4 linked regions of the Styela clava genome follow. The protein of the gene in region 3 purifies or fractionates together with the protein of the main gene of each other region. This does not show direct contact. Links are inferred from orthologs where the notes say so. Each region holds a gene or a part of one and is shown on either strand. Other genes may lie near its edges.

What was found.
Region 1: the proteins of cullin-5-like (region 3) and uncharacterized protein LOC120348408 purify together in Homo sapiens (affinity purification with mass spectrometry; 3 studies listed by BioGRID and IntAct, counting the BioPlex papers as one, with this or other methods). This does not show direct contact. The link is inferred for Styela clava from reciprocal best matches to the Homo sapiens genes CUL5 and ASB8.
Region 2: the proteins of cullin-5-like (region 3) and ankyrin repeat and SOCS box protein 12-like purify together in Homo sapiens (affinity purification with mass spectrometry; 6 studies listed by BioGRID and IntAct, counting the BioPlex papers as one, with this or other methods). This does not show direct contact. The link is inferred for Styela clava from reciprocal best matches to the Homo sapiens genes CUL5 and ASB1.
Region 4: the proteins of cullin-5-like (region 3) and WD repeat and SOCS box-containing protein 1-like purify together in Homo sapiens (affinity purification with mass spectrometry; 4 studies listed by BioGRID and IntAct, counting the BioPlex papers as one, with this or other methods). This does not show direct contact. The link is inferred for Styela clava from reciprocal best matches to the Homo sapiens genes CUL5 and WSB1.

What each region holds. Positions count from the first base shown.
Region 1 is NC_135250.1:17,968,385-17,975,829, reverse strand, and holds the start of uncharacterized protein LOC120348408, read left to right. Parts: upstream 1-4,442; 5' UTR 4,443-4,618; coding exon 4,619-4,801; intron 4,802-7,445. Other genes in the region: uncharacterized protein LOC120348287, read left to right, coding at 1-51, 141-223, 393-470, 737-823, 925-1,085. UniProt on the Homo sapiens protein: May be a substrate-recognition component of a SCF-like ECS (Elongin-Cullin-SOCS-box protein) E3 ubiquitin-protein ligase complex which mediates the ubiquitination and subsequent proteasomal degradation of target proteins.
Region 2 is NC_135252.1:8,869,870-8,876,785, forward strand, and holds the start of ankyrin repeat and SOCS box protein 12-like, read right to left. Parts: upstream 3,021-6,916; 5' UTR 2,938-3,020; coding exon 2,887-2,937; intron 2,441-2,886; coding exon 2,216-2,440; intron 1,778-2,215; coding exon 1,732-1,777; intron 1,298-1,731; coding exon 1,099-1,297; intron 415-1,098; coding exon 323-414; intron 166-322; coding exon 1-165. Other genes in the region: chymotrypsinogen A-like, read left to right, coding at 6,016-6,092, 6,789-6,829. UniProt on the Homo sapiens protein: Probable substrate-recognition component of a SCF-like ECS (Elongin-Cullin-SOCS-box protein) E3 ligase complex which mediates the ubiquitination and subsequent proteasomal degradation of target proteins.
Region 3 is NC_135250.1:10,414,756-10,422,559, reverse strand, and holds the start of cullin-5-like, read left to right. Parts: upstream 1-4,798; 5' UTR 4,799-5,138; coding exon 5,139-5,153; intron 5,154-5,488; coding exon 5,489-5,584; intron 5,585-6,372; coding exon 6,373-6,486; intron 6,487-6,946; coding exon 6,947-7,126; intron 7,127-7,751; coding exon 7,752-7,804. UniProt on the Homo sapiens protein: Core component of multiple cullin-5-RING E3 ubiquitin-protein ligase complexes (ECS complexes, also named CRL5 complexes), which mediate the ubiquitination and subsequent proteasomal degradation of target proteins.
Region 4 is NC_135252.1:10,399,608-10,406,915, forward strand, and holds the start of WD repeat and SOCS box-containing protein 1-like, read left to right. Parts: upstream 1-4,306; 5' UTR 4,307-4,402; coding exon 4,403-4,466; intron 4,467-4,913; coding exon 4,914-5,106; intron 5,107-5,458; coding exon 5,459-5,604; intron 5,605-6,154; coding exon 6,155-6,264; intron 6,265-6,377; coding exon 6,378-6,503; intron 6,504-7,308. UniProt on the Homo sapiens protein: Probable substrate-recognition component of a SCF-like ECS (Elongin-Cullin-SOCS-box protein) E3 ubiquitin ligase complex which mediates the ubiquitination and subsequent proteasomal degradation of target proteins.

The sequences.
Region 1 (7,445 bases), about 7.6 Mb from region 3:
CAATAAAGTTGACGATGGCTTCATTCTTACAATGACACTACAAGTAGAAGGGTAATCAATTGAGCTTAATTGATAATAATGAAAAATGAGAATTGTTATCATATGAAAGTAAAACTTATACATACATATATTATTTTAAGCCGAGCAACTGAAGACTCACTAGATAGTTTGATTCACTATATAGATAATGGAGATGGGACGTATACTGCAAATCCTGAACTCAGTGAGTTTGAACTCGTTTAAATTTAACTTAGTTTCCGATATATAAAACTGATTGAGTATATATCTGGTCAAAATAATATTTTAACTGCTCAATGAAATTCACTACAACACTCAATTATCCAAATTGTCATAACCAGTAAACTTCTTTATTCTGAAAACCTCTTTTTCAGTTCCATCGATGGCAGCAAGTTCTAGAGAATCGTTCAAGCATAAACTCAACGTAACTGGGCTTCAAAAAGTGGAAGCTAGTAAGTGGCGAAATTCAAACTTTACATTTGTTAATCAAACCAAATAATCTGCCAAGAATAGCTAAGACAAATAAACGAATCTGATAGTATATCATAGTAAAATATGTAAATAATATGAAGATTGTCAATCTTGCGAATTATAGGTGAAATAACTTCTATTATTTTGACTCTATGTATTTGCAGATGAGAGTTGTAACTGAACTTGTTGAAGTATTTTAGTCAAATTAAAATGTTCAGAAAATTGTCTATCTCAAATTTTTTTCTAGTGATATACAAGATGTCGACTGGAAATTTTTTCTTCCTTACGGACTATGATGAATACTTCATTATGGCAAAATGTGCTCCCGATTCTAGTAAGTCTATGTAGAAATTATAGATAGCTCTTTCCAAACGTATTGCTTCAACTATAATACTGGATGAGAACGGCTAATTCATTCCAATTCATTTCATTCAGATCTGATTGCCCTCGTCAAGCACAAGAAAAAGCAACCAACGGGAAAAGATGTCGCGGACATATGGAATGTATTTTCCAACCACGGAGAAGCCCCTATTACACACTGGGAAGGATTTTGTACCAGAAGACGGTTCACAAAATACGAAATCGAAGAAAAATAATTTCTACTCATGAAATTGAGTATTGAAGTACGAAACATGGACTTCTGACTAATATCTTTTACAATTCATGTTATAGACATGAAATATAATATTGTTGCATAATATCCATCGGCCAATGACCACACACAAATAAATGTGATATCATATTACAAAAAAGTAATGTCGTACTGTTTCATAAATATAATGGAAAACCATAACCTACAGCAGGACTACTCAACTGGCGGACCTTTCGGGTATTCGATTCGGACAGCGACTAATTCTTTATTTTGAATCATTAGCCCCACTCTTGAAGTATCCTTTTATAAAATCCCTTTTATAGGTTTAAATATATATGAAAAAAACTATAACGCAATAATAAACAATTTTACATAGCTAATATTCATTTTAGTCTGCCGAGAGAGTGCGTGTTTAGGGATGCCGGAATATAATTTCTGGAAGGTCCGGACCCAAATATTTTTAAAGTTTTGTATGCGAATCTTCGGTAAAAATAGTTGAATAGCCCTGACCTACAGTACTAAAAAGAGTTTCCATCATCTATGAATCCACCTACACTTGCACCCATTGACGTTTGCACTCAAGTACATTTGCACGCGCAGATTTTAGCACCGGCATATACATGGGTGGGATTCGGTGGCTTCCCGCGAATACGTTCTTGAAATGTCGTGATATCAGCCGACCCGTTCTAGTTTTAGATCTGCAAGTTTTCTGAAATGAGTGAACTTGTTGTTAGCAAGTTCGATGCAAAATTAAACTCGGTTTATGAGAGTAGACATCTTGGTGACATAGCAATACAAAGTGAGGAGAAGTGCTAGCAACAAATTGCTCGACATAATCTTGCTTCCGCCAGGTCGAGGCACTGAACTATAAATTTATATAGAACGTTCTTCTCACTCGTTTGCGGGGTCTCCGACGGAGAGTCAGCATTTATGCTCCCAAGCTTACTTCGTATTGCTTTTGGCATGTTGTCTTACGTAAGTTTTGGATGACGTAGTTACGTGGCGGTTAGAAATGATATATATATGCAAAAATTGTTACGCCACGCCCACTATAAGTTATTGTTGCGGTTTCACGAATCGTCGACTAAAATAATTACTAATCATTAAATTAATTCAGCGGTTTCCAAAATGTGCGACGCGAAAGAGGGGAGAGTTGCTAAGTGCGCCGCGAAAATTAACAGAATGTGTTAAACATAACTAAAATATGATTGAGCACTTTACATATTGTATCAATTATAAAAGTTTTATTGCTTCTTATTTTGAATGCTGTGTATATGAATCGATGAATTCATTTGACCTTTCTATGTCGTTTACACTTTATGTTATATAGTGTCTTCCTCTATTGTTACGTAACAATAGAGATAGACCACTTGATACAATGAATTTTTTAGCATTTTAAAGGAGAACCAGGCATAAATGAGAAGGGAAATTCGACTTTTATTCTCTAGGCCTACATGTTTACAAACAAAGGCACAAATTAACGATCACAAAAATTGAGTTTTATTTGAAAACATCAGTGCGCGGTGATTTTTTCCCTGATAATTTGGCGCCACGCGAATAAAAAATTTGAGAACTGCTGCCGAAATCCATCACGCATTATTCGCCTCCTTCGTCCTGACGGTAGTGTCCTTATATTTGAATATCGTTGTATTGTTATTAGTAGGGTTGTCCAAATTCGAATATTTTTTGGACTCCATTGCCGCCGTAGGGTGGTTCACGTAACCGCAGTAGGTTATACGGCTTCCAACATCAAGTCCATGTATCTGAAAACAAATAACTGGCTGACTAATCCCATACCTGGCATGAACTTGTACGGTTACCGGCGAGATGCTGTGGTTCGTCATATGATTAAGCTGTCTTATCGACTTTCAACTCCCCCCGGAAGAAATATGTAAACCCTTTCCTATAAATGCACACCATCAAGCTCGTGCATCTGAAAACGAATAACTGGCTGGCTAATCAGATACCCAATATAGACTAGTACGGTACTGGTAACCAGTCGAGTGGTTTTCAGATATTGCGCACCAATCCAATAAAGCGATTTTTTCAGACATATGTCATGCAGGCTTTGTTGTGCAACGTGGATTGCATCGCATTTAGATAATTTTGATTTCACATATGACCTTTTTTGTCAGCATTTTGTAATCGGTATTTAGGTTGCACCTCGGGTAGGCTACTTGTACTTTACTCCGTGCTATGGTTTAGTGCTGAAGATTAAGCTGCAATTTTGTACTGTTGAAAATGACAAAGCGAAAATGTAAATTTACTGACGATATGAAGGCATGACACCCATGCTTTCGGAATGGCAGAAATGAATGAGAAGCAGAATGCCTAGTTTGTAAATCAGGAACATACATCTCGGTTTTTTACAAAGTTTTCCGGATTCAAAATAACATCTAGCAGTGAGAGGAGATTCCTCTTCTACTAAAGTGACGAATTATTTTCTCACAACAGGATGTAAAACAGGAGATGTAGTTACAACTGTCGAGGGCGCTTATGCGTACACAAGCATCACAACAGCTTTTTGTGTATGATTGTACTTGCTAAAAAACGTTCCCTAATTCTGACTTGAACAAAAAATTCTTGTGCCGAAAAAAGACGGAAGCGATCATGACATCTGTACTTGCACCGCTGCCTTTAAAAGTTTTATGGAAACTGGTATCGAATATTATGCAGTTGATTTAGTGAAATGCAACAACTTTGCACCATTCGTTTTGTTCTGTATTTTTCTATTCTCACGCGAAAGCGACGGCAGCTTGTGCACTTGGATACATCGCGAATTTATACCATGGCATTATTACCATGGTTTAAATTTTGTCAGGGATTTTGTCTTTTCAGATATGGTTACCTTAACGTAGTCATTGGTAACAGGCACCCACACAATCCTTCCGTTTATTGGGTGGATACCGCTACACGCTCCCATTCCCAATACTGTATTTTGGTCTATACTCGTTGAGGTAATGTCCACACTGGTGTGGCGGTGTGGATAAGCGTTAGGAATACGCTCGCCACCGCACCTCTAATTACTCTGCGTGGGTTCGCAGGTTCGCATCCCATGCAGGGATGGTTATGTGCGAGAGGATTGCTGGACTCCTCGCCGTCGTTGGGTGGTTCACGTAACCGCTGGTCGGTTACGGCTTCCTCCACCACCAAGTCCATGCTTCCGAAAACAAACAATACAGTAAAACTAATCCCATACCCGACTTGGAATGGTAACCGGACGAGAGGCCGTGGTTCGCCCTATGGATAAGCCGTCTTATCGGCTTTCCTCTCCCCGGGATAAATATGTAAATCCTATCCTTTCCTTTACTCCACTCATAAATTGTAAATGATCTACTCCTACAACGTAAGATGACGCCAAAGAGCGGCGTCGGATGTAAACAATGACATACGGGTCGTCGGCGTAAAATAGCTATGTCGTCCGTCCAAATTTACATAAATAATATGGAATTTTGCTCATAATTCTGTAATCATAAACTGCGCAGATGCATGGGCGAGCAATTAGAAAGATTGTAACGAAGAAATATTAATTTTCAAATGACAACAAGGGATAGCTATGTTGATATGTGGCACATAATGGAGGCCTTACAAACGCGATATCTCCTGACACAGGAAATGATAGATCAGATATTACGGAATAATGATTCATGCTATGAAAGATTGGACTTACCGCCACCGAAAAAAGTTCTGTCAGAAAGAGTGAAGGAATATTTGGACAAGGTGAGCATTCTGTTTCATATTCAGTTGATTCAATCATCAAATTTATTGATTTGTATTATACTAAGCTGCAAAAGAAACATTTGGATAGGATAGCCCTTCAAACGGTAGGATAGGATAGGATTTTCATATTTATCCCGGGGGAGAGAAAAGCCGATAAGACGGTTTATCCATTTGGCGAACCACGGCCTCTCGTCCGGTTACCATTCCATGTCTGGTATGGGATTAGTTAATTACTTGTTTTCGGAAGCACAGAAGCATGGACTTGATGATGGAGGAAGCCGTAACCGACCAGCGGTTACGTGAACCACCCAACAGCGGCGAGGAGTCCAGCAATCCTCTCGCACATGATCATCTCCGCATGGGATTCGAACCTGCGAACCCACGCAGAGTAATCAGAGGTGCGGTGGCGAGCGTATTCCTAATGCTTAGCACGATGAGCCACACCGCCGGGCCGAATATCTGAATATAGACAACATTTCCTTCTATTTTTCGTTTGGTAAACAATTTTGAATGAATGCACATGAAACAATAGAACATTATTACTGTATCCAGGGGCGCAGCCAGGATTTTTTCTAGGGGGGGGTTACGGTGAAATAAAAATGCGTTTATAGGTCTTTAAAAAGATGTTCCGACGATGGCAAAACAACATGTGCGTCGCTGTGTCTCATTAGCCTTTCTTTGCATGTCCTACTTTCAGCAATCGCCGACCATTCTCTTTGGTCAAAAAAAATCAATCAACTTTTCATTTCAATGCGCCGTTAACTATATTACTGAAAGTGAATTCGTCGCAAATTCAAATTCCTGTGATATTTGCACATAACGCTTCTCTACTTTTAGCGGCGATTTATCAACATATTATTACCAGTTTGTTAATAATGCATGCTATTACTTTTGGCAACAGGGTTAAATTGGTTTATCGTTGTTTCAAGCAAGAAAATAAGCATTTGTTTTTTTCGCTTATTCAGCAATCGTAATTCAAATATTTCCCTATGCGAAAGAAAGTCTTCATTCCGCGGGGTGTCCTTGCGATTTAGAGTTTCAAAGTGATGCCGAAAATGCTGATGATAGAGAAACACCGACACATGTGGCTATTTGTCGCCAGACCCTGCCCCCTTTGACAGGCGTCAATTCGTTTATTTTGTTTTGGCATGTCCCATTTCAACCTTTTAGTAATCGCCGATTATTACCCCATTGTCAACAGTTAAATAAAATGCCATCGTCATGATTTTAATTGAAATACCGCAAAAAATGTAAAATAAGAATAGAATGAAATATTAGCAATCATGAAACATTAAGAAATAGCATAAATTAATGATATTTGCCAAATGCCAATGGTTCATAAGAGTGCGTCACGAAATATCAATCCATTTCCAAAATAAATATATTTGATGTTCCCGTATTTATAACTTCATAAAACATTACAATCATTTAAAAACAAGCTCATGTATCGTATTGATTGGGAACGTCTTTCAATGTAAAACTCTTGCTTGTTGCAATTAACTGTTAATAAATTCTAATTTTTATTGCAATGCATCGAGACCTATATTACTGAAAGTGAAATCGTCGCGAATTTGCTGCATTCTTCACTTTCAGCAATAATTTAACTATAATAATTTAAATATAATTTAATAACATATTGTTACCAGTTTATTGAAAAGATCTGGAAGACAACGCATGTAACTGCTTTTCGCAGACAGACGATTCCAAACGAGTCTTGGACGAGTTTGCTACCCAAAAATCCCGAAGATTGAACATTATATTACGATACTTTTTACTCGAAGATTGAACATTATTTTGCAATGCTTTGTTTTCGAAGATTGAATATTATTTTATGACACCTTTTTTCGATGCTGCCACATTTGGCAATCCTTTGTTAATGAACCATACATTTCCAATAATTCATTTTGTCTGTTATTTGCTTATGATCCTGGTGCCATCGCTTGTTAAAGATGCACTACATAACTAAAATTCGTAATTAGGGATAAGCCGATAACCAACGATAACGTATGTGATTAAAAGTATGGATGCGTTGAATGTGGCGAGGCGAGAGCGCGCTTGTGGAATAGTTTTGACGGCAATAGTGTGATACGTCCGTTGCTATTTGTGTCAAGTGAAAGGTAGTACAATTGTATTTAAAAATGTTTAGTGTAGATTGTCACTTCCGTGACCCCCCGCTGGCAGCTAGATCCACTGCCGCGTAACAGAGATAACGAATCGTAAACATAAATAATAAATTAGGACGCTGGGCGAAAGTGATAACGCAAAGAATAAAATTATTGCAAGTAAACGTAACACTATTAAAAAAAAAAAAGATTCCAAAGGGGGGGGGGGGGTTACGACCCATGTAACCTCCCCCCTGGCTGCGCCCCTGACTGTATCAATAAGTTAGTAAGTCTGGCCATTCTGCTATGTCAGTGCTAGTGTGAGAATCGTGAGATATGTGGTATAATTAACAGGTTGAAGTGTTTTGACTGCCCAAATATACTTATCTGGAATTGTAATAACTGGATACTGTTTCTTAACTTCATACCAGCATAGCCTACTGCAGTACTGAGATTTGATATTCATCTTATCAAAGATGTCTAGATCATTGCAAAATACTGCTAGATTAGAATGTTTTTTTCACTTATGTAAACTATTTTTA
Region 2 (6,916 bases), on a different chromosome or scaffold from region 3:
TTCCCACGTACAGATTATTGCCTCGATTCTCTTCCGTATCAGAATATTTTCCGTTCACATCCGCCCCGTATTCAATTAACAACCGTAAAACGTTTGGATAATTAGATCTTGCGGCCATGTGAATTGGCGAGCATATATTTTCCGTGCTACCCTCAGGGTTGGCTCCTAGTAAAATATATTTTAGGTGAAGATAACAGTATTATAATATATGCTTGTGATGTGCATATATATATATATAAAGAAAACATATAAATTCCACGGAAACAAAAAATAATTTAACTAAAATAAATTATGTTCTATCAAAAAAACATTGAAAACTTACCTGCTTTTAAAAGTACACTGACGCATTCGGTTTTATTATATTTTGATGCTGCAAGCAATGGAGTCTGTCCTTTGATATCGGGTATCTCTAAACTAAAATACATGAGAATTACTTAATTTAGATAATTAGCCAACATGACAGATCATGTTGTCTATGTTTCACATGCTAACATACGTTGATTTCAGGTAATTTAGAGTTTAGACGAACTTTATTTGAGTTGATTTCTGTGGCTAGACCAGTGTATTAAGCCATAAATACATATTGGTACTTGTATGGTATATATAAAAAGTTCTTGAAAAATTGTAATAGGTATACCACGGTGAAAAAGGTAGACTATAGTATCACGCGTGTTGTCCATTCCCAGCGCAGGTACTATTCGAATATTCCATTTTTTTTCATGAAATTTCTGCTCACAAGCCAATCTATCTAAACCGGTAATGCAATGCGAGAAGCAATGCAAAATATTCAACAACGACGTAAGAGTAAGTGCTTAACGATAAAATTCAGGACTATAGGAAATTCCGAAAAAGGAAGTAGCGCAAACAAGAGTTTGTCACAACACTTAATGGAGTTTTATCACAATTATACCAAGCATTGATATGAAATATACTTGTGTCCATTTGTTCTGCGATATTGTAGCGGTAACACAAAGTATACAGATATACAAGATCAATTACACAGTATCAAACTCCGCGCAAAGAATCTGTATTCACTCGACCTCGTGGCATTCTCTCTTGTCATTGCATCTTTCAGTTATAAGATACTTTTTCACTTACTCTGCCCCACACTCGCATAATGCTTCAACTGTTTCAGTGTGTCCTAACGAAGCTGCAATCCAGAGAGCTGTTGCGCCGAGTCTATTTCTGCAGTTGAGCAATTTTTTTGAAGCTTCCAAACCAGCATCTGTAACTTCATCTTCATATTTTTCATGAGCAAAGCGAAGAAAGGGAAATTTTTTTAACACATTTAGTCCAGCTGAAAACAATAGCATGCTTTTAATTTCATCTAGAAATATTTTACAGCATATAGTTTTATGACATAGTTTATCATGTACTTGTTCAAAACACACAAAGTACTTATAACAAGAGAGTAATAGGACGATATATGACGTGATGGAGAATTTTTCAAAATGATACACCATTGATCTACATTCTACATCCAACAGCAAGGAGTCAATTATAGTATCTAAAAGTTAAATCCCTCGGGGTAATACTCACAGAGTGTTTTGATAGGATAGATGAATGAAACAATCCAATGTAACTTGAATGTTGTGTACCCAACAGTCTCTTATACGCTATATACGGTAATTAGTATGGTTCTGATGGAGCCAAATTTTATGTATGCCAATATATCATAATATCATAATTCCATAGCCCTAACATTATAGTGGATTTTGAAGAGATACTGACCTATGTCTCTTTTCTTTATAGGTTTGCCAGATAACAATCGACGTGTCTGTAATATGATGCGTTTAAATTAAATGAACTTCTTCAACTATACATATAAAATTGATATCACGCAGAACGTAAGAAGGTAGAAAGACTTGAATATGTTATAAATATGATACACTATGATTTTATCAAATCGCCTCTGGTAAGATTTTAGTTTGAAAATGCTGAAGAAATAAGTTTTCAAACAAAGTAAAAAATACTACATCCATACTACAGCATTTTAGTCTCATACGACCAGTATCAGTAAAAGTAAGAATTTTCTTGAAACTTCCTTACTATAAGATAAAATATCCTCTCATAGTAATCGTCAATGTGTGGAAATTGGTCTGTATATGGATGTATATGAGTATTGCAATCTTATACTTTCGGATACTCTATCTTTAGCAAGTAATCATTAATTATTGCAATTCGTATCCAAAAACAGAACTTCATGTTCTCACACCTCCTCAGCATCGCCCCTCCTTGCAGCCGTGTGTAATTTTGAATCTTCACCTTCTGTGATTCCGCCGAAAACACCGGAAAGGGATTTCACAAGGTCAACTCGGAGTGGAAGTATGGGTGATTGTTCATTTGTTTCTGTACTATTGACGCCACCAGCATTTCCAGATATACCGAGGCTTGCATTTTGAACACTTGAAGTAGAATCCACATTAGGATTATTGGCAACCTGCATTTAAAAAGCATTTTTGGATGGAATATATCAAAGAACTGTGTGGCATATCCAGTCCAGTATGAGAATAATTTGAAGGACTTCTGAATTCTGATGGCGACTTAACCCAGCCATTTCCGCCACTTTGTCAAGGGTGCAATGATTCAAGTAGTTGAACCGTGAAGATCTGAGTAGTTCCAACGGTAGTAGGCACTTATATATCAATGCGTTTTCAAGATGCGGAAGATTTTATAAAGTTATATCAAGCTTTTTGGAATTTCAGTAGATTGCATGGTACAGAAACAGAAGTTCTATAGTGGTACAGTGATAACAGTCGCGTCAAAACAATAGAAAAGTGAGGGGAAGATTTTTTATTACAAATAGTCATTTTATGTTTGCAAGAGTCTTTAAAGCATGGTTTGTTGAACTAAAATAAGAAATTTCAAATAAGAGTAGCAAAATACCTGATTAGTGATTGAAATCTCTCCATCTTCATTAAAATTATTTGGAGTCATGACTTTTTTATTAAAACTAAAGATTTTTGTAAGTAAAAATCAATGAACTGAAAAAGACATATGGATATTATTGTCAACATTTTTAGTGGGAGTGATTTTCATTAAACGTGGTTAGCCTGAATTTGATTTATTTTTCGCTATCGTTAGTCTATACTTGACCTGTCAACTCTATCACTTCGCAGATTTGATAGATTTGAAAGTCCTGTTTGTGGTGATCCTTCAAATACTTACTCGTTTGGCACAAAGTAGGTATAATATGTATTGTATCAACTGTCAAACGTCTAACTAATCTTTTACTTCAAACTGAAACGTATCTTATCCAAACTACTGGTGACAGAACAAGATTACACTCGGAAATTTAGAATTAAAAACGCAATGAACACATCGTTTCATCTGATAAGATTTGTCATCAAGAAAATTTGGCATACACATCCAATCACATATTTTAACTGCGGTAAGGATGATAAAGACTTTCTCTGACATCAGACGAATTTTGACTTTTTAATTACAAAACACAAATAAAAAATAATGCATCGTGAATTATATTGCACTTCAAATATTGCTTTCTCCGAGTTTTCGTACTGATCTGTAAGGTCCCAAGCAAAATCCTGCGTTTTCTATAAGAAACAAATTTCAATGATCTGATAGTATATGTTCTTGCTGTCCTATAACTAACTCAGTGAATGCTACTGGCAAATATCTGATTACCTATTCAAGTTGAAAGTTTTGAATGTCCACATGAATGTTTCTCGTCTCTACTTATTGGTAGATTACTCGCCGTGTGACAACAACTGGCTCTTTGTGATAAGACGAAGTGCTAAATGAGCACCATGTACATTAAGTTCTCTATATTGAAAAATAGATCTTATTTACTTGTATTTTAAAGTTGCACTTAATTAAATTTTATTTTAACATAAGGTATAATCTTTATGAACGAATAATGTAATCGTAAAAGGTTTTTATGCGCCCGATACTTGATAGATGAAAAATTCGGACGGCATTGTAAACATATAAATCATCATATTTACATACATACGCAAGTAAAATCACTGAAAATTTTCTGCAGTATAAATTATAATATACACCAGGGGAATTCGCTGCTTGCATCTTCTGTGCGTTCATGCATGATGGGTGCGATTGCCCTGTTTCGCGCTTATAGCTCGTGGATCGTCGTTCCGAAAGAGCAGCTGCGGCTTGCGAGTGGTAAATTTTCGCACAATACACGTTTATTACTGGTATAACAGGATGTATAATAAGAAAACTATTATTTCAGCACTATGAAAAAGTTTCAGTTGATGGTTTGTGGATAATTAAAAAAATTGCATAAAAACTTTGATATATACATGATCATTCATGATTAACTGACGAACTAAATGCAAATGTGCTTATAATCATGCCCACTTTGAAAAGTTTTGTTACATTTATTAAAATTCAAAAATTTGTACATTTATTAATTGTAGAAACTCATTATATTCAAATGAGTCCGAGCAATGGTACTCCCGTAGTGTGTGTACCAGATGAAGGTTAGACCATAATTTGATTCCGGTTTTCCTCATTTTAGTTATATTTTGAGTTAATATATACCCCCTGCCCATAGATTTCAGTCCCTTTACACAACTTAAAGTAAAGTAGGCGAACAAAATGAGTTACCTTCGCATTGGTACCTATACTACTGGAGAGCCCGAGCAACGACATGACAGGGTATCGGGTAGAATGAAATAAGATAAACTTGTACTGGATACAAATACTTTATGGAATGTTGACTTTCTTTGCGGAGAATGAGGAAATCGCAGTTAGAAACGATGAGATAAATGCATGCAAAATATATGGGGGGTGTGATTCGATCAACATTTTTAAGAGAACTTGGTTTTTAGACTTTGCTGGATACAATAACCGAATGCTTTGAATCTGACAGATTTCAGTGCAGTTTACCAACGTCTTACGTTCACGGTTTAAATACTTTTTATCTCGCTGAATTCACAAGTATAAGAACAAAAAAGGACAGCAATTGTATACGAATTCACTTGGTTATTTGTGAGGAGTTTTATAAATAACGAGGCCTCAAAAAGAGCAATTTGAAAAATAGCAACGAGAGTGAGTGATGGCGTTTGATGATCATTGATTTAGGTAACAAAAGTCTCCACTCTGAAGTTTCTCAAAAATTCCAATATAAACACAGAGATAATATGGTAATGCCGTTGATTATCTCAAGAACAAAATTCAAATGGGTTCAGATCAGTAATTTTTAGCCCAAATACGCAGAAATATTATGATAATACTCAAATGTGCGGTTTTAATGGAAATATATTTCAATCCGAGAAAAAAAAATTTACATATCTCCAATAAAATTGAATATTTTCCCAACCACGATGATAATATAAGCAAATTTAACCACTTTGAATTAAAAACGACTCGATGCCGGATATGATAGTGGTTTGATATGTTGCAACCTTGCCCGCACGTCATTCAAATGCAATTGAAAATACCATGTTTTCATAGTACAAATTGCGTAAATAGACATAGGAAAATGAATATAATGTAATTTCTCAAAACTGTATCTGTAGAATTTTTGGTTTATTATTGCACAGACGACGATAAGCAAATTTATATCAAAGATTTAAAAATATTTTTTTTTAATTTTTGGAAAAATTTCACATCACTCTATAAAAGACTCGTCTTTTGGAATCTATAGTCACATCTCGGTGTGTGTGTCTTTACAACTTCAAGAAATTCTGAAGGCCGGTTGAATCAGAATCGGACGAGTTCTTTGTGTTACAAGGTAAGTTCGTTGGCCTGTTTTCGTTTGCGAACTGAGTGTTTTTAATCTGACGTGAATTCAATTCACTTTTGACCTGATTTGCACAATTTTTCCCACGTTTTCTGGCCCCATCCATGCACGTTTCCGGAGCACGTTTCACTCAATATGCAAGATTGTGTCTGATTTGGCGGCAGACGATGAAAGGTAACTGACTTGATTGACCGCCTGTCAAACATTTGGCTTACATGGAAGTAGTCCTCCTAGTATTTGTTTGACAATTTCCTGCATTACTTCCAGGAACCATTTACAGAGAATATACAATGGATTGGTCGTTTTTGATAATATTGGTAACTAGTGTTTTTTTCGTGAACATGTCCAATGGACAACCACGGCCAGGGTAAGTAAGTGTTTTATTGTTAGCAAACGACAGAGTTGTTGTTCGTGTGTTGAATATAGCGTTACCGTCTTCGTAAGAATTTACAGCCATTCAACATTTTTAATTTGACGTTCAAGATGTTTATGTCTTCGCTGTAGTAGGAAAAAATGGCTGCGAGTATGCTGTAGAGATTCTAACCTTTTTAAAAGTAACATCCAGGAAATTTTTTTCGGAGAACTAAATTGAGTACTAAAAACGTAACTTTGAAACGTTTGGATAGGGTTCTAGGTCCAAGTCAGAGGTGGGCAAGGTTTTTGGTCCAAGGGCAAGAATTTTGCCCATCTAGGCTGGCGAGCAAGTGTGACGTAACAATGTGACACAGTGTTTACAAAGGCAAAAGTGGAAAACAATAAGCCTCGTGCCAAAACTAAATTTAATCGCAATTTCAACAAATTCCTTGAGTTCTTTTTAGCTAAAACATCAAAATTTGGTTTTAGTTTGGTTGTCGCAGCATCACGCGGGTCAAATTGAATTACCCAACAGGCCGGATTTGGCCCGCGGGCGTTAGTTTGCCTATTTCAGGTCTAAGTGATTACCTTTGACTCATGTAAATCTGTATATTAAGCAGCCCTTTTTTTTATTGGAAATAAAAATTTGGAGTAAAATATTATCCACGGCAATATTTATTTAAAATGTTGAATTTGTACTGTTTTTCAGATATAAGCAAGCAGTAAATCCACTTCCTGCTTACCTCGAACGTAAGTTTATACGACTAGAATTTGCGCAAAACTAACTCATTGTAATTTCTCAGACATAGTGATTGTCACATTGGATATAGTAGGGCG
Region 3 (7,804 bases):
GAGCGCAAAAAATCTCCCCCGATAATTGCCCGTGAAACATTGGCTAATGTGAATTTCCAGATAAAATTTCTAACGCATATAGTCAAAGGCACTTTTCGTGTGCCATATGTCGTAATTGAGGTGCCATTAGCTGCCAAAAGTGCTTGTCCTGGTCGCCCGTAACGACGGTCATGACTGGTGGCAGGCAGCACGCTGACTTGTGTACCCGTATCAACTAAAAAACTGCGTCCAGAGTTTTTGTCTGTGACGTAATAAAGGTTTGAATCGCCGACCGCCAAAGAGGTTACTGACGGTCGGCTATGGCGTTTTCCGAAACCACAAAAGAACATGGCGGGCGACATTTTTTGGCTTTCTTGCCGAATTTCCTGTGATAAAAACACATTTCAGACAAAACATGAGATGGTTTGAACGAACTGGTTTTTTGTACAGCGTTTGTCACCTCATAGCCTTTTGCAGTTAAAATATCATCTGCTTTCCTTGCCAGCTTCCGAAAATCGTCGCCCGTGGTTGTTAAAATGTCTGTAAGTTGAGACCGGACGTCTGGTGGCAGATGACTGACGAACAAATGGCGAAATAAGAAATCAGGTGTCTTACCTACTGGATACAATGCAAGCATGTTGTCCATAAGTTCCGTTGCCGTTCCATCCCCTAGTCCAGGCATTGAACAAAGGCGCGCAGCTCGTTCAGGATCCGTTAGCGAACATTTAGTAGTGAGCTTCTCTTTGAGATCTTGGTACTTGTTCGTTTCCGGCGGGTTATTGAGAACATTAAGAATGCTGGCAGCGGTATTGTCATCCAGAGCGGCAACCACGTAGTGGTATTTTGTTTCATCTGTTGTGATATTTCGAACAGCGAACTGCGCTTCGACTTGGTGGAACCAAACGGCAGGATTTTTAGTCCAGAAAATCGGCAGCTTTAATGATACCGCTGTTATGCCTACTTTGTTGTCTTCACTCATATTCTTCGTTATGTGCGTATTCTTTTCTCAAAAGTATGCTTATCACGTCGGGGTCACCATTTGAAGCGAACTAACTTCTTTCTAACAAGAAAAAGACTTTCAATTATGTTGATGTTTAATCCATAACAAAGCAATGTTAACGACAAGCGAACAGAAAACAGAATGACAAGTTATCGTAAGAAAAGCACGTAAGTAATCATGCGTGACAAAAACATAAACAAAACAATTGTGACTCATAACGGCTATTATTAGTTAAGTGGTTCGCCACACTGTATTATTTTATCCATGGGAACACTGGCTGTCCGGTTTGATTCTGTAAATTATTTCTATGCGAAACTCGGAATTTTTTGTGGGTACCGGTGGCGTCAAAGGTAAATACTGCTTCGCCATCGCTACCGGTATTTGTTTTTCGAAATCATGGACTGCTTGCTTGGTGTCAGTATATTTGTAGACTGTGGTATGTCTTGTAGACCAGTACCGGTATGTAGACCAAGTATGTACCGGTATGTAGACCGTAACTAGACCAATACGGTTATTCAGTTATTGTATTATAAACAGGAAACATGTAAAATATTTTATTCCTAATACCGTACTGGTAACTGCGTTGTCTTAGTTCTAACACCGGTACCATACGCTGTTACCCCGTACCGGTAAGTGCCGAACACTGGAATATATTAAATGTCAGAATGCCTGGTACCGGTAGTGAAATGAATTTCCTTTACCAGATTTGGCTACTTCGGACGAAAACCAAAATTTGTACCGGTATCCGAATACTGGAATATATCAAATGTCAGAATGCCTAGTAGTTATAACTTTGCAAATGCTGATACTGTGTTATGTCAGTATTTGTCAAGCCCAATGTTTTCAAAGATAGAGAAGTTCTGTTAGCGCGGTGACACTGAACTAACTAGCTGTCAAAAGCTTGAAAATCCATACAAATATAAGAGATAAAAAGATGAACTTTGGCAGGTGGGTAGAGTTGTGTTTCTTTTAACCATCTTTAAAGGTTTCGCGTTTTTACATTAAAAGGAGGGAGAATAGGGGGGAGCGCATTTCCAATACGTCGATGATATCTTTGTCAACCAATTTGCGACCACGATGTTTTTGTCTGTTTGATTCCTGTGATGTGGTGCGTTGTTTATACAGGTACTGGTAAGTCACCGAATATGATTTTTCGGAGAATTGTTCCGCGTGTCCATATATTTGAGCATTGCTCTCTTGTTTATTATCAGCAGCGACAGCGAAAAATATATACTGCGATAGACTTTCCTGGAACACAACCTAGTGCCCATGTTTAAATGAGGGAACATTTCTTACAAATAATATTGTTACATGTAGTGAGTTATTTGACTCCGAGTTATATGACGATGGTAGCGCGCGATCTTCACGTGTTTTCGTATTTAGTTTTCACAGATGAGCTGAATGGAGTCGGAAATTCCGTAGAGTTCCAGATCGACGGCTGTGAGGGGAATTCCGATGCATATTTATATAGTGAAAGTGACTATTTACCGTTCCACGAAATACTGGATATTGATGTTAGTGGATAATCTGGACGCGACGAGCATCTCGGACAGTACCAATGAAGAAGACGAGCATCACCTAACCGAGAAAAGAGACGGCATCCAATGCCTTTATTAGCTATTTGAATTATCCGTCCTGTGGTTGCCTTGGTTATCTGCCTGTTGGCGCTCGGAGTCGTTTTCTTCTAGTGATACCGGAAATATCCGGTCTCGCAAATATATTCATATGCTATTTGTGTTAGTATTTTTACTCTTATCATGATTCAATGATTTTTTCATTTTTACTTTTGTATAATTTAATGCTAGACTATTTCATTTCACGGGTGTCACTGCTCGATAACCACTTCTGGTTTATCGCGACTCCTTTTACCGCGGAATGCAACTTTTCATCTTTTTTCCTGACCTCGTATGTAAAAAGTGTATTTTCGATGTGATGATAAAATAAACTACTGATTACTGAGTGTATGGTGAAAAGAAACGAAATAAAGAAAAAAACAGGGGGCCACTGGAAAATAATATGGAATCTGGAAAAGGAAGAATTGGCCCAATCATCAACCAGGGCCTCCATGTGGATCTCATTCTTAGCAAAGTCAAATACCGATGTAACGTTGTGAATGAATATCAAAGCCTTGCTATTTTCATTAAATTTTGGTCAATGACGACTTGCACTGAACTCAAAATATTTATAAATACGCTGGTTGAGACACATGCGGTTAAGCATCTGACCATCCGGTATATCTAGACCAGTCTGCAAAGATATGTTCGCATCTACGTTTTTGCCTTGCAGAACTCAACTGTCTTGGATTAAACATAAAATCTCTTTTAACGTATGAGCTGTTGTTCAGGCATACCCGAAAAGTGGAAAGTGTGCAAAAGTAAGCGAAAGGTCAATTTCACACTATATGATGCAAAATCAAAAGCAGGTACTGTAACGTCTGGAATGAAACTGAAGGCAATCTGTCCAATAAATTATTTGCTTACTTGCAGTTTAAGCATTTCAAGGAATCATTTGTAATATTCCCGAGCTGAAGCATATCATAATTTGGAACGATGGATGCGGTTACCAAAATAAGAATACCACGGTAGCCAATGCATATTCTAGTCTAACAAGAACTTACAACATAAATATGGAGCAAAAATGTTTGGTGGCTGGACACGCACATATGGAATGTGACTCAATGCACATCGTCATTGAACGTATATAAGATCGTAGAAGACATTTTTACTGAACAAGATTTAATCGTACTTATGGAATCCGCATGAATCAATCCATCACCCCCGCCAAATGGAGCACACTGATTTCAAAAGAATGAATCAGTTGTTCCCTCAGTTGATTTCAAAAGAATGAATCAGTTGTTCCTTCAAAGCATTAGATCCGGTAAGAGAGCAGAATTGGCTGCCATCATTTTTAGGATAACCTCACGAGTAGATTATACAAACTTTAATGAAATATACAATGAATTCATGTAATGAAGTTGTTTGTTAATGTTTTAAGTTCAAAGTAAGTTGATGATGTTTTGATTCTATAATATTGTTAGAGTTGTGAAATTTTATATTCTTCGTGTAAATTGAATAAAATACATCCGGTCTGGGGGTAACATATTTATTTAATGAAATTATTCTCTCATTATTTTTTCATCATTGCCGAATGGACCTAAACAACGTATATAGGTCAAGCGAATGCACGTAGAAAATATGGAATGAAGATGCGATTAATATTGCCTAACACTGGGTGTGGGAATGAAAAAATGCGGTACTTAATTTTTCGCATATGAAAATTTTTTTAGAAATTATATATATTCCAAAATATTAAAAAATTTGATAAAATGAATCTATATAAAAGAATTTTGAAAATGATTGAAAAATGAGAAAGTTATGAAGTTTTATTTCATTTACTCAAAATGTGGAAATATGACTTGGGCCATTCAATAGGCTGGCGATATGCACTCTTTGCGTCCATACATCGGATGTTCCGATACTCCATCATTGCAATTTTACCGAAATATTGGCGGTTGGCATAACATACTTGGCGCCAGAAACACGTTAGCTTTTGCACTTTTGACTACCCTTCACGGATACTCAAGTTCCAATAATCAATGTGCAAGAGAATTACTTGATTCCTTGACTTGAATTACTTGACGACATCTAACCGACTTCTTCCAAAATCAAATCCATGTATCTGAATGTTAAGACTGTCACCAATTACTACCTCTGACTTTTTGGCAATTCCCATAATCTGGTAAAAATTAGTTTTGAATCGCCAAAGAGCTGTGAAATTCACATGTCATTTATTCTTGCCTTGTGATGTTTGATTGTAAACGCATGTGTAACATCATCTGTGACTCTGTGAAAGCAGGATATGTCTGTCACATTTGCCTCGTACTTTTAAATACAATATCTCGAGCTATAATTCCGAGCCATTCTTATACATTCATTACAACGGTTATAATATTCTACTTTCGCTATATTTTGTTTATCTCCGCTTGGTCGCATTTGTATCAGCTGTTAGCTAGTCACCTCAGCCGCATCTCGCAGCTAGGATCGTACAACTGCTGCGGAGATCAGCAATAGGCCTTCAGGCGTCGCCGCATAGTTTACTCTGGGACTTCACCGTTCAGAGATCTGAATTAGTTGGTTTGGAAAAATCATAAAGCTGAAGGATGGCGATGCTTCAGGTATGTTAGATATATCTGTATATACTGATATTTGAAGGACTAAAGTCTGGAAGTTAATACTGCAATGACAGAATATTTTCACTTTGATTATTATAAATTTACACAGAACTGTGTTCGGTATTTTTGAAGGATTTCAGTATCTCTGTATGATACCGGTACAGTATATCGTTTCTGCATGCTATATATTTATGTGATAAGTTTGGGATACTGGGATATCTGAATTAGGATAGGATTTAAATTAACCTATTTATCCCGATTGAATCACCAGTAAAATGTTATTTTTGCATTTATCCATATATTCTCAATTGTTGTTGATGTTAAAATTTTTGTTTCAGGGAAATTCAAAAACATTTGATAACAAATGGCCGAAGATGCAACCAATTGTTCTCAAATTATTGGGACAAGAACCAGTTTCAAAAGAGGAATGGCAGGTAGAATAGATGTTTACAATTATCAACTTAAATTTAGCAGAACTAGGCCTACAATGTCAATAGACATGCCCTGTATCTTTATGTAAGGTTACATACATATATTAAGTTACGAGAATAACATACAGTTACTGGCTTAACTCAATCTACAAACATGTGGTCCAGTAATACGTTTTGGTTTACATTGGTAGTTTTGTGTGATATAGATTGAAGGTTCAAACTGAAAGTGAGATTTGACTTACTATGAGTTTACTCACATCTATATTGAGATTTTAGCTATTATGAAACTTATTTATGAAAAATGTTTTTAAAGTAATATTTGTTTAAACATTAGGATTATACTTGGAAATACAACCTGAATCATCATATTGATATTTCTAGACACTTCGGAAGCATGTCTCCTCAAAAAATTATAGTAGGCCTACTATAAAACGCTGTTATTCATATGCCAAGTTTCAGCTCATTATCTCTATGACTTCTTGCTGTTGATGATTTTTCTTTATATTTCATCGCCAGCTCTTATGCTGTTTCCTTCTTTTAGCAAATTTTATTGAGATTTCATGGAAAGCTAGATGGCAAGTGGAGGTGGTGGTTAATTGATAATATTTCTTCTCTATTTTTTGAACATGTTAAGGTTATTCAAGTTATTGTACGCAATTGGCTGAACTGGCCTGTGTTTTGTGCAAATCTTTCTTCCAATGTATCGAATCTTAATTTACAAAAATTTATATTTATGTTTAATCATGTTTTGGGACAATGGAGTACAAGAACATATTCTTTATTTTGTTTAGGATTTGTTTTACGACGTTCACACTGTATGTCTGTGGGATGAAGATAAAGGAGTGGCCCAAGTACATGAGGCTCTCAAAAATATAATTTCTAATTTTATAAAGAATGCAAAGATGGTAAACCGATTTTTTTACTTGAAGAATTGTCGATAAGATGAATTATTTAGGAAGATATGTCCAAACCAAATCGAATATTTATATCAATTCCAATTTTATTAAGCAATTGAAATCTTCCAGTGTGATCAAAATTTATTTCATCTTTTCTGCATTTCAAATGCAAATTATTGAATGTAAACTAACTTCTATGTGCTCTTTGCTGTACATAACCCAATTTAGAAAAATTTCAAAGATTTAGTATTAGAATATACTATTTAAGAATGTATCAGAACTAGTAGAATACACATTTTTTGCCAACCTCCGTGATTAGGTTATATTACTATAGTTATGTGATTGTGTAGAAAAAAATACATTCAAGTCAAATATTAGATTAAGTAAAATTTGTGAGTAATTTTACTCTGTCATTATGGATTTGAATAAAATTTTCTATTCTTACATCAAATATTTTTTTATTGTTTAGAAAGTAAAAATGAATGATGACAATTCTGCTCTCTTGAAAGCTTATATTTCGGTTTGGACAAAGTTTTTTGAACAATGTCTATATCTACCGCCTGCTTTCAGCACTCTTGAAAAATCACTTGAAAGTTCCGATAACAATTTGGGAATGAAGAAAAACGAGTCCAGAAATATTATTAGGAAGGTTGTATGGATTTATGATGTTACTAGTATAATAAGACACTCTTCTCTCTAAACGAGGCTCTGCACGAGTAGCCATTGTTAGGTGCTATTATAGTTTGGAAGGACTGGTTCAGTTTGTGACAACATGGGTGAGGTGGTTGTTCTCAGGATTTGAACCAAAGATTTTAACCTGCAATGACATCATAGTTATGTCTAATGTTTTAAAAACAAGGCCACTGCACCCATGTTATGTTTTACTTTTAGTTCTAAAGGTTGGATCATTAAAAATAGAGATAGTTGACTTACTCGGTTAAATGTTAGGAAAACTCTCACCTTCACAGGGACTCACTCGCGTTCTGATTTTGAAGGATGGTCCTTTTGTTGAACTGCCTTACGTCATATAGTGTTTACATAATGACTAAACAGATTTGATTTCTTACACCAACCAGATTCCCACATCTAGTATGGTATTATTACTATCAGACTGATGAATTATAGTAAGGATATATTTAGCAACATAGTTAATCATCATTTTAGCTTTCCCTCTGTCGCAAAATAGCTACAAAACCTATTGTTTATATATACTTATCTTATGTTGCTCTAAAATGTATCTGATATCAAATTTAATTTCATGTTTGATTTTTCAGTTGATGCTAGATAGTTGGAATGAACATGTTTTCTGTGATATTCGTCATCGACT
Region 4 (7,308 bases), on a different chromosome or scaffold from region 3:
GACTCAAGTTGTTTTGTGTAGACATTTAGAACCTTATCAATATAAAATAATAAAATCTCTCCCCACTTGGGCGGAAAGCGATGTGACTAACGTTTGGAAAGTGTGTATTTTTACAATTTTTCACCAATGCCATTATTTGAGAAATAGGCACTTTTCAGCAATGGATTACGCATAATTTTAAAATTTTGTACCCATCGACTCAAGTTGTTTTGTGTAGACTTTCAGAACCTGATCAATATCAAATAATAAAATCTCTCCCCACTTGGGCGGAAAGCGATGTGACTAACGTTTGAAAAGTGTATATATTTACGATTTTTGACCTATGCCGATATTTGAGAAATAGGCACTTTTCAGCAATGGATTACGCATAATTTTAAAATTTTGTACCCATACACTCAAGTTGTTTTGTGTAGACTTTTAGAACCTTATCAATATAAAATAATAAAATCTCTCCCCACTTGGGCGGAAAGCGATGTGACTAACGTTTGGAAAGTGTGTATTTTAAGATTTTTCACCTATGCCATTATTTGTGAAATAGGCACTTTTCAGCAATGGATTACGCATAATTTTAAAATTTTGTACCCATCGACTCAAGTTGTTTTGTGTAGACTTTTAGAACCTAATCAATATCAAATAATAAAATCTCTCCCCACTTGGGCGGAAAGCGATGTGACTAATGTTGGAAAAGTGTATATATTTACCATTTTTGACCCATGCCGATATTTGAGAAATAGGCACTTTTCAGCAATGGATTACGCATAATTTTGAAATTTTGTACCCATCGACTAAAGTTGTTTTGTGTAGACTTTCAGAACCTAATCAATATCAAATAATAAAATCTCTCCCCACTTGGGCGGAAAGCGATGTGACTAACGTTTGAAAAGTGTATATATTTACGATTTTTGACCTATGCCGATATTTGAGAAATAGGCACTTTTCAGCAATGGATTACGCATAATTTTAAAATTTTGTACCCATCGACTCAAGTTGTTTTGTGTAGACTTTTAGAACCTAATCAATATCAAATAATAAAATCTCTCCCCACTTGGGCGGAAAGCGATGTAACTAACGTTTTAAAAATGTATATATTTACGATTTTTGACCTATGCCGATATTTGAGAAATAGGCACTTTTCAGCAATGAATTACGCATAATTTTAAAATTTTGTACCCATCGACTCAAGTTGTTTTGTGTAGACTTTTAGAACCTTATCAATATAAAATAATAAAATCTCTCCCCACTTGGGCGGAAAACGATGTGACTAACGTTTGAAAGGTGTGTATTTTTACGATTTTTCTCCTATACCATTATTTGAGAAATAGGCACTTTTCAGCAATGGATTACGCATAATTTTAAAATTTTGTACCCATCGACTCAAGTTGTTTTGTGTAGACTTTTAGAACCTCCTCAATATCAAATAATAAAATCTCTCCCCACTTGGGCGGAAAGCGATGTAACTAACGTTTTAAAAATGTATATATTTACGATTTTTGACCTATGCTGATATTTGAGAAATAGGCACTTTTCAGCAATGAATTACGCATAATTTTAAAATTTTGTACCCATCGACTCAAGTTGTTTTGTGTAGACTTTTAGAACCTTATCAATATAAAATAATAAAATCTCTCCCCACTTGGGCGGAAAGCGATGTGACTAACGTTTGAAAAGTGTGTATTTTTACGATTTTTCACCAATGCCATTATTTGAGAAATAGGCACTTTTCAGCAATGGATTACGCATAATTTTAAAAATTTGTACCCATCGACTCAAGTTTTTTTGTGTAGTCTTTTAGAACCTAATCAATATAAAATAATAAAATCTCTCCCCGCTTGGGCGGAAAGCGACGTGACTAACGCTTGAAAAGTGTATATATTTACGATTTTTGACCTATGCCATTATTTGAGAAATAGGCACTTTTCAGCAATGGATTACGCATAATTTTAAAATTTTGTACCCATCGACTCAAGTTGTTTTGTGTAGACTTTTAGAACCTAATCAATATCAAATAATAAAATCTCTCCCCACTTGGGCGGAAAGCGATGTGACTAACGTTTGAAAAGTGTATATATTTACGATTTTTGACCTATGCCATTATTTGAGAAATAGGCACTTTTCAGCAATGGATTACGCATAATTTTAAAAATTTGTACCCATCGACTCAAGTTGTTTTGTGTAGACTTTTAGAACCTAATCAATATAAAATAATAAAATCTCTCCCCACTTGGGCGGAAAGCGATGTGACTAACGTTTGAAAAGTGTATATATTTACGATTTTTGACCTATGCCGATATTTGAGAAATAGGCACTTTTCAGCAATGGATTACGCATAATTTTAAAATTTTGTACCCATGGACTCAAGTTGTTTTGTGTAGACTTTTAGAACCTTATCAATATAAAATAATGAAATATCTCCCCACTTGGGTGGAAAGCGATGTGATTAACGTTTGGAAAGGTGTGTATTTTTACGATTTTTCACCTCTGCCATTATTTGAGAAATAGGCACTTTTCAGCAATGGATTACGCATAATTTTAAAATTTTGTACCCATCGACTCAAGTTGTTTTGTGTAGACTTTTAGAACCTAATCAATATCAAATAATAAAATCTCTCCCCACTTGGGCGGAAAGCAATGTGACTAACGTTTGAAAAGTGTATATATTTACGATTTTTGACCTATGCCATTATTTGAGAAATAGGCACTTTTCAGCAATGGATTACGCATAATTTTAAAATTTTGTACCCATCGACTCAAGTTTTTTTGTGTAGACTTTTAGAACTTAATCAATATCAAATAATAAAATCTCTCCCCACTTGGGCGGAAAGCGATGTGACTAACGTTTGAAAAGTGTGTATTTTTACGATTTTTCACCTATACCATCATTTTAGAAATAGGCACTTTTCAGCAATAGATTACGCATAATTTTAAAATTTTGTACCCATCGACTCAAGTTGTTTTGTGTAGACTTTTAAAACCTCCTCAATATCAAATAATAAAATCTCTCCCCACTTTGGCGGAAAGCGATTTGACTAACGTTTTAAAAGTGTATATATTTACGATTTTTGACCTATGCCGATATTTGAGAAATAGGCACTTTTCAGCAATGGATTACGCATAATTTTAAAATTTTGTACCCATGGACTCAAGTTGTTTTGTGTAGACTTTTAGAACCTTATCAATATAAAATAATAAAATCTCTCCCCACTTGGGCGGAAAGCGATGTGACTAACGTTTGAAAAGTGTGTATTTTTACGATTTTCACCTATGCCATTATTTGAGAAATAGGCACTTTTCTGCAATGGATTACGCATAATTTTAAAAATTTGTACCCGTCGAATCAAGTTGTTTTGTGTAGACTTTTAGAACCTAATCAATATAAAATAATAAAATCTCTCCCCACTTGGGCGGAAAGCGATGTGACTAACGTTTGAAAAGTGTGTATTTTCACGGTTTTTCACCTATGCCATTATTTGAGAAATAGGCACTTTTCAGCAATCGATTACGCATAATTTTAAAATTTTGTACCCATCGACTCAAGTTGTATTGTGTAGACTTTTAGAACTTTAGCAATATCAAATAATAATATCTCACCCCAGTTGGGCGAAATGGGTTGAAAAGGTGTAATACCAAATGATTTAATTATGGCTATTTGATACAACTATATCATTTCCAGCAATGTATTTCGGATATATTGTATTGATATATTGGATTGTTCTCAAAAATTCCTAGTTGTACAATATAGCATATTTATATTTTTTGTTGTTGAAAATGTTGGTATTCTTTCTGTATAAAGAAATGTCAATAAAGTTTAGTTTAACTTGCGAGGTACTTCGGTATTACCTTTCAGCAATCTTTTTTTAAAGTACTTTCTCGTGCCGTACTGTTGTAGTTTTCAACTCATATTTATAAGTTGTTGCTTGATGATTCGCACTTTAAATATTTTTTTAGACGCTACTATTATTTCAAGTCAGATACATAAGAATATCTTTATTTTGTTTTTTTACTTTCATTTTCCGAATTATGCGCATGGGTATTTACTCCCGCCTGCAATTCTGCTATGATATTTGAACTTTTTGCTTGGTTGCGCACAAAGGTCACCGTGCGACTCACTTCACAGTGGTATACCTTGTTTACTCCAGAACTCATTCATAGAGTTCTCCTTTTGATTGTCGTCGAGTCGAAGTAGTCAAGGAGTGTTTGAAACTTAGTTGGTTAATTTTGAAAATTATGATATGTTCACCAGCTACAGTTTACTTTACCTGTTCTTGACTCAGGTTACATTATATTGTTTTCAGTCGTCGGCGCCCTTCGGCTTGCTATCATTTTTTATTTTTTTTTTGACTGAGCCCCCCTTTCACCCTTTTATTTTCTATTCAGTACCGTAATTATCAAAACCTTATTATTAATGAATGAACTAAAGCTGGACAACTTTTTAAAAATTAAACTTGTGGATGGAGATGCTGACCTAGGTGATTAATTTTTTTTTGTTTGCTGATTCAACTACTGAAAAATTTGAAAAAAAATATTGTACTAGTCACTATTATTAGTCTTTTAGTGCTACTTGTTGAAATCATCAATACTGGTACCATAAAGTAATTCACTACTGGACTACATTCCGCTGTTCTGACAGTACTGCAGTAGGAACTACAGAACTAGATCTTATTAGTCTATTCTACTTCAGTACCGGTAGTGTATTTTTATCAAAGTAAAAGGACGCACAATCTGAAAACGATACCGGTACCATTGGATTATCAACAAAATTATGTGCGTTCTAGGGTTTTTAGCATGAAACGCAATATTTGATCACTTGACAGCGGCTGTACAGCTGTAGGGAGCGATAACAACATAAGCGTGTGATTGATGTTTTTTATACCAATTCTGAAGCAAAAACCTGATTAATTTCGATTTATTTTTAGATGATATCCAAGAGTCCAGAAGTTTTATTGGTCCATCACATCGCAGACTTGGAGATGCTGGAGAAACACATTGTTGTGCATTTTCACCGGATGGAAAATTACTAGCTTGGTCTATTGCACATGGATTTGTAAAAGTTTGCTGGTTTGCACCCATCGCAAACAGGAATGCATCAGAAGATAGTTTGTTATCAAAGTACGTTCAGCGAAGTATCTGCTTCTCTGAATATGTATATACAGGGTGACTCAATAAACAGAACCCTTGTCATTTGAAACATATTTCAAAAAAAGCTTTTTTGCAAAGTGTACTAATTTACTGAAATGTTTGGGTATAATCACACACAAACAGAAGCTAAAGTGTTCTTTAATTTTTGTAGAAGTATTCAAATGAATAATCAATAAAAAGATTTTTTTTAATTTGATGGAAGTACCTTATTAAAAAATCTAAAGATCTCTTTTTGTCACCCATACTGATAGAAAAAATTATGCCACATATTGATAGATAAAATTATGCTACTAAAATATGTCAAATTATGCCACTTTTTTAGTAACTCTGAACTGACAATTGACTGTGCAAAGAAGGTCGTAACATTAAAGTTTGGTCCTTTGAGATGTGACGTAAATGAAAATGTTAAGTATCTTTTGGCAACTGGGCTGGACTGTGGAAGAATCAAATTATGGAACCCTTTTACAGGTGATATACCCATGATTAGTCAGTGACTTTTTATATTAATTAGTTGAGGGTTCAGGCATTTTCTCTCATATTTTCAGCCCCGTAAACCCAGCATGAATGGTTGGTTTTAATTTCCCTTTCTTCAATTGGAAATATCAATCAGTACAAAGGAAAATTTCCTGTGCATCAATATGATATGTATAGTTTTATCACAGTGTTTCATGCCCGGACCATTGGCACATCAGGATAATGAAATTAGGGCTATTCAGCGCAACAATGAGGACCCTATCAAGCAATATCCCAGGGCTGTGGCCTGTTGGTGAAGGTCGTAACCCCAAAAATATGGCTCGATAAAAATCTTTCGATTGATTATCCTGCCGACTTCATGATACTCTTTAGAATGTAATTTATGTAATGAACAGTATTATCTTGCATGTTTCGACTATGCTCCCGGGCTGATTTTAAGTGAGAGTCCAACAGTTTTTATCTGATTGTGTTCTCCATTGAGCATCTAAGACTGGCTCACTGTTCCTTTGATATTCTATTGAACCTTTCACCATTTTTTTTTTAGGTGAAATGATGTATAATTTGTCAGATCATCATTTCGATGTAAAAGCATTATCTTTTGCTTTACTCGGGGAACCACTTCTTATATCATGCTCGCTAGATAAGACTTTGAAGGTAAACTATTATCAGTTGATATTTATAACTTACGTGAATTTTTGAATATAACTCAATCGTTCTTTCTTCTGTATGTTTTTTTCATTGCAATTTTTTCATGTCTTATAAATAAGGTATGGGATTTAGCTGACGATGGCAACATGACTTTAACAATAACAGGACATCCATTATCAGTGTTTGATTGTGCTTTTTCTCCTGTTGATCCATCTCTGATTTGTTCAGTTGGAAAAGGAAGCTGTGTGAGTTTGTTTATTTACCTAAATTACCTTTGTAGAATAGAATTTAAGATGACAGTGTTCTTTGACTATTAAAATATGTCTGAAGAAATTCATCTGAATGCTATTTTATATAGAATTGTTTTCTGCTGATGATTTTGAATAATATTTTTTTAATGCCTTTTTTAATTAGAATTTACCGAGTAAATTTGTATAATAATCGGACTTTCATTGTGTTGCGAACCTGTTAGAATATGCTGTAAAAAGTTGTCAAAGATTGATCAATAAATTTAAGTCGACTTATATTGGCACAATAAACTAGTCCAGTGGTCCTAGAATGTGTGTCGTGGTGCAGTAGTGCAACGTGAAATAATTTCACCACAAAATATCAGTATATTTCCTAAAAATTACTTCTTGTATGTCCACATTTAATTAAGAATTTCAAAAATAAATTGAATTTTTCTAATTGCGTTTCGACTCATATTATAGATTGTAATTGGGTCATGAGTTTGAAGACAAGTTTTTTTCTTCAAAACTTCTGCACCAGTTAGGCTTGCACGTAATTGACAAAAATCAATTCCGTAATTACGGCCAAATCGATTACGTAATGACCCCGTAATTGCGATATTTTTTTCACACATTTAAACCTAGCATACCAACCAATTTAATCCACTTCTATTCCGAATGGGACATCGAAGTTTGGTTTTCATATTCCCGGCAGTACCACACGCCGGAGACAGATGTTAAAGACAAATATCAAGGAGTGAATTCAAAATAATTTTATTCTGATTTTTATTATTTGTATTAGCTTTGATTTTCCTTTATCAAC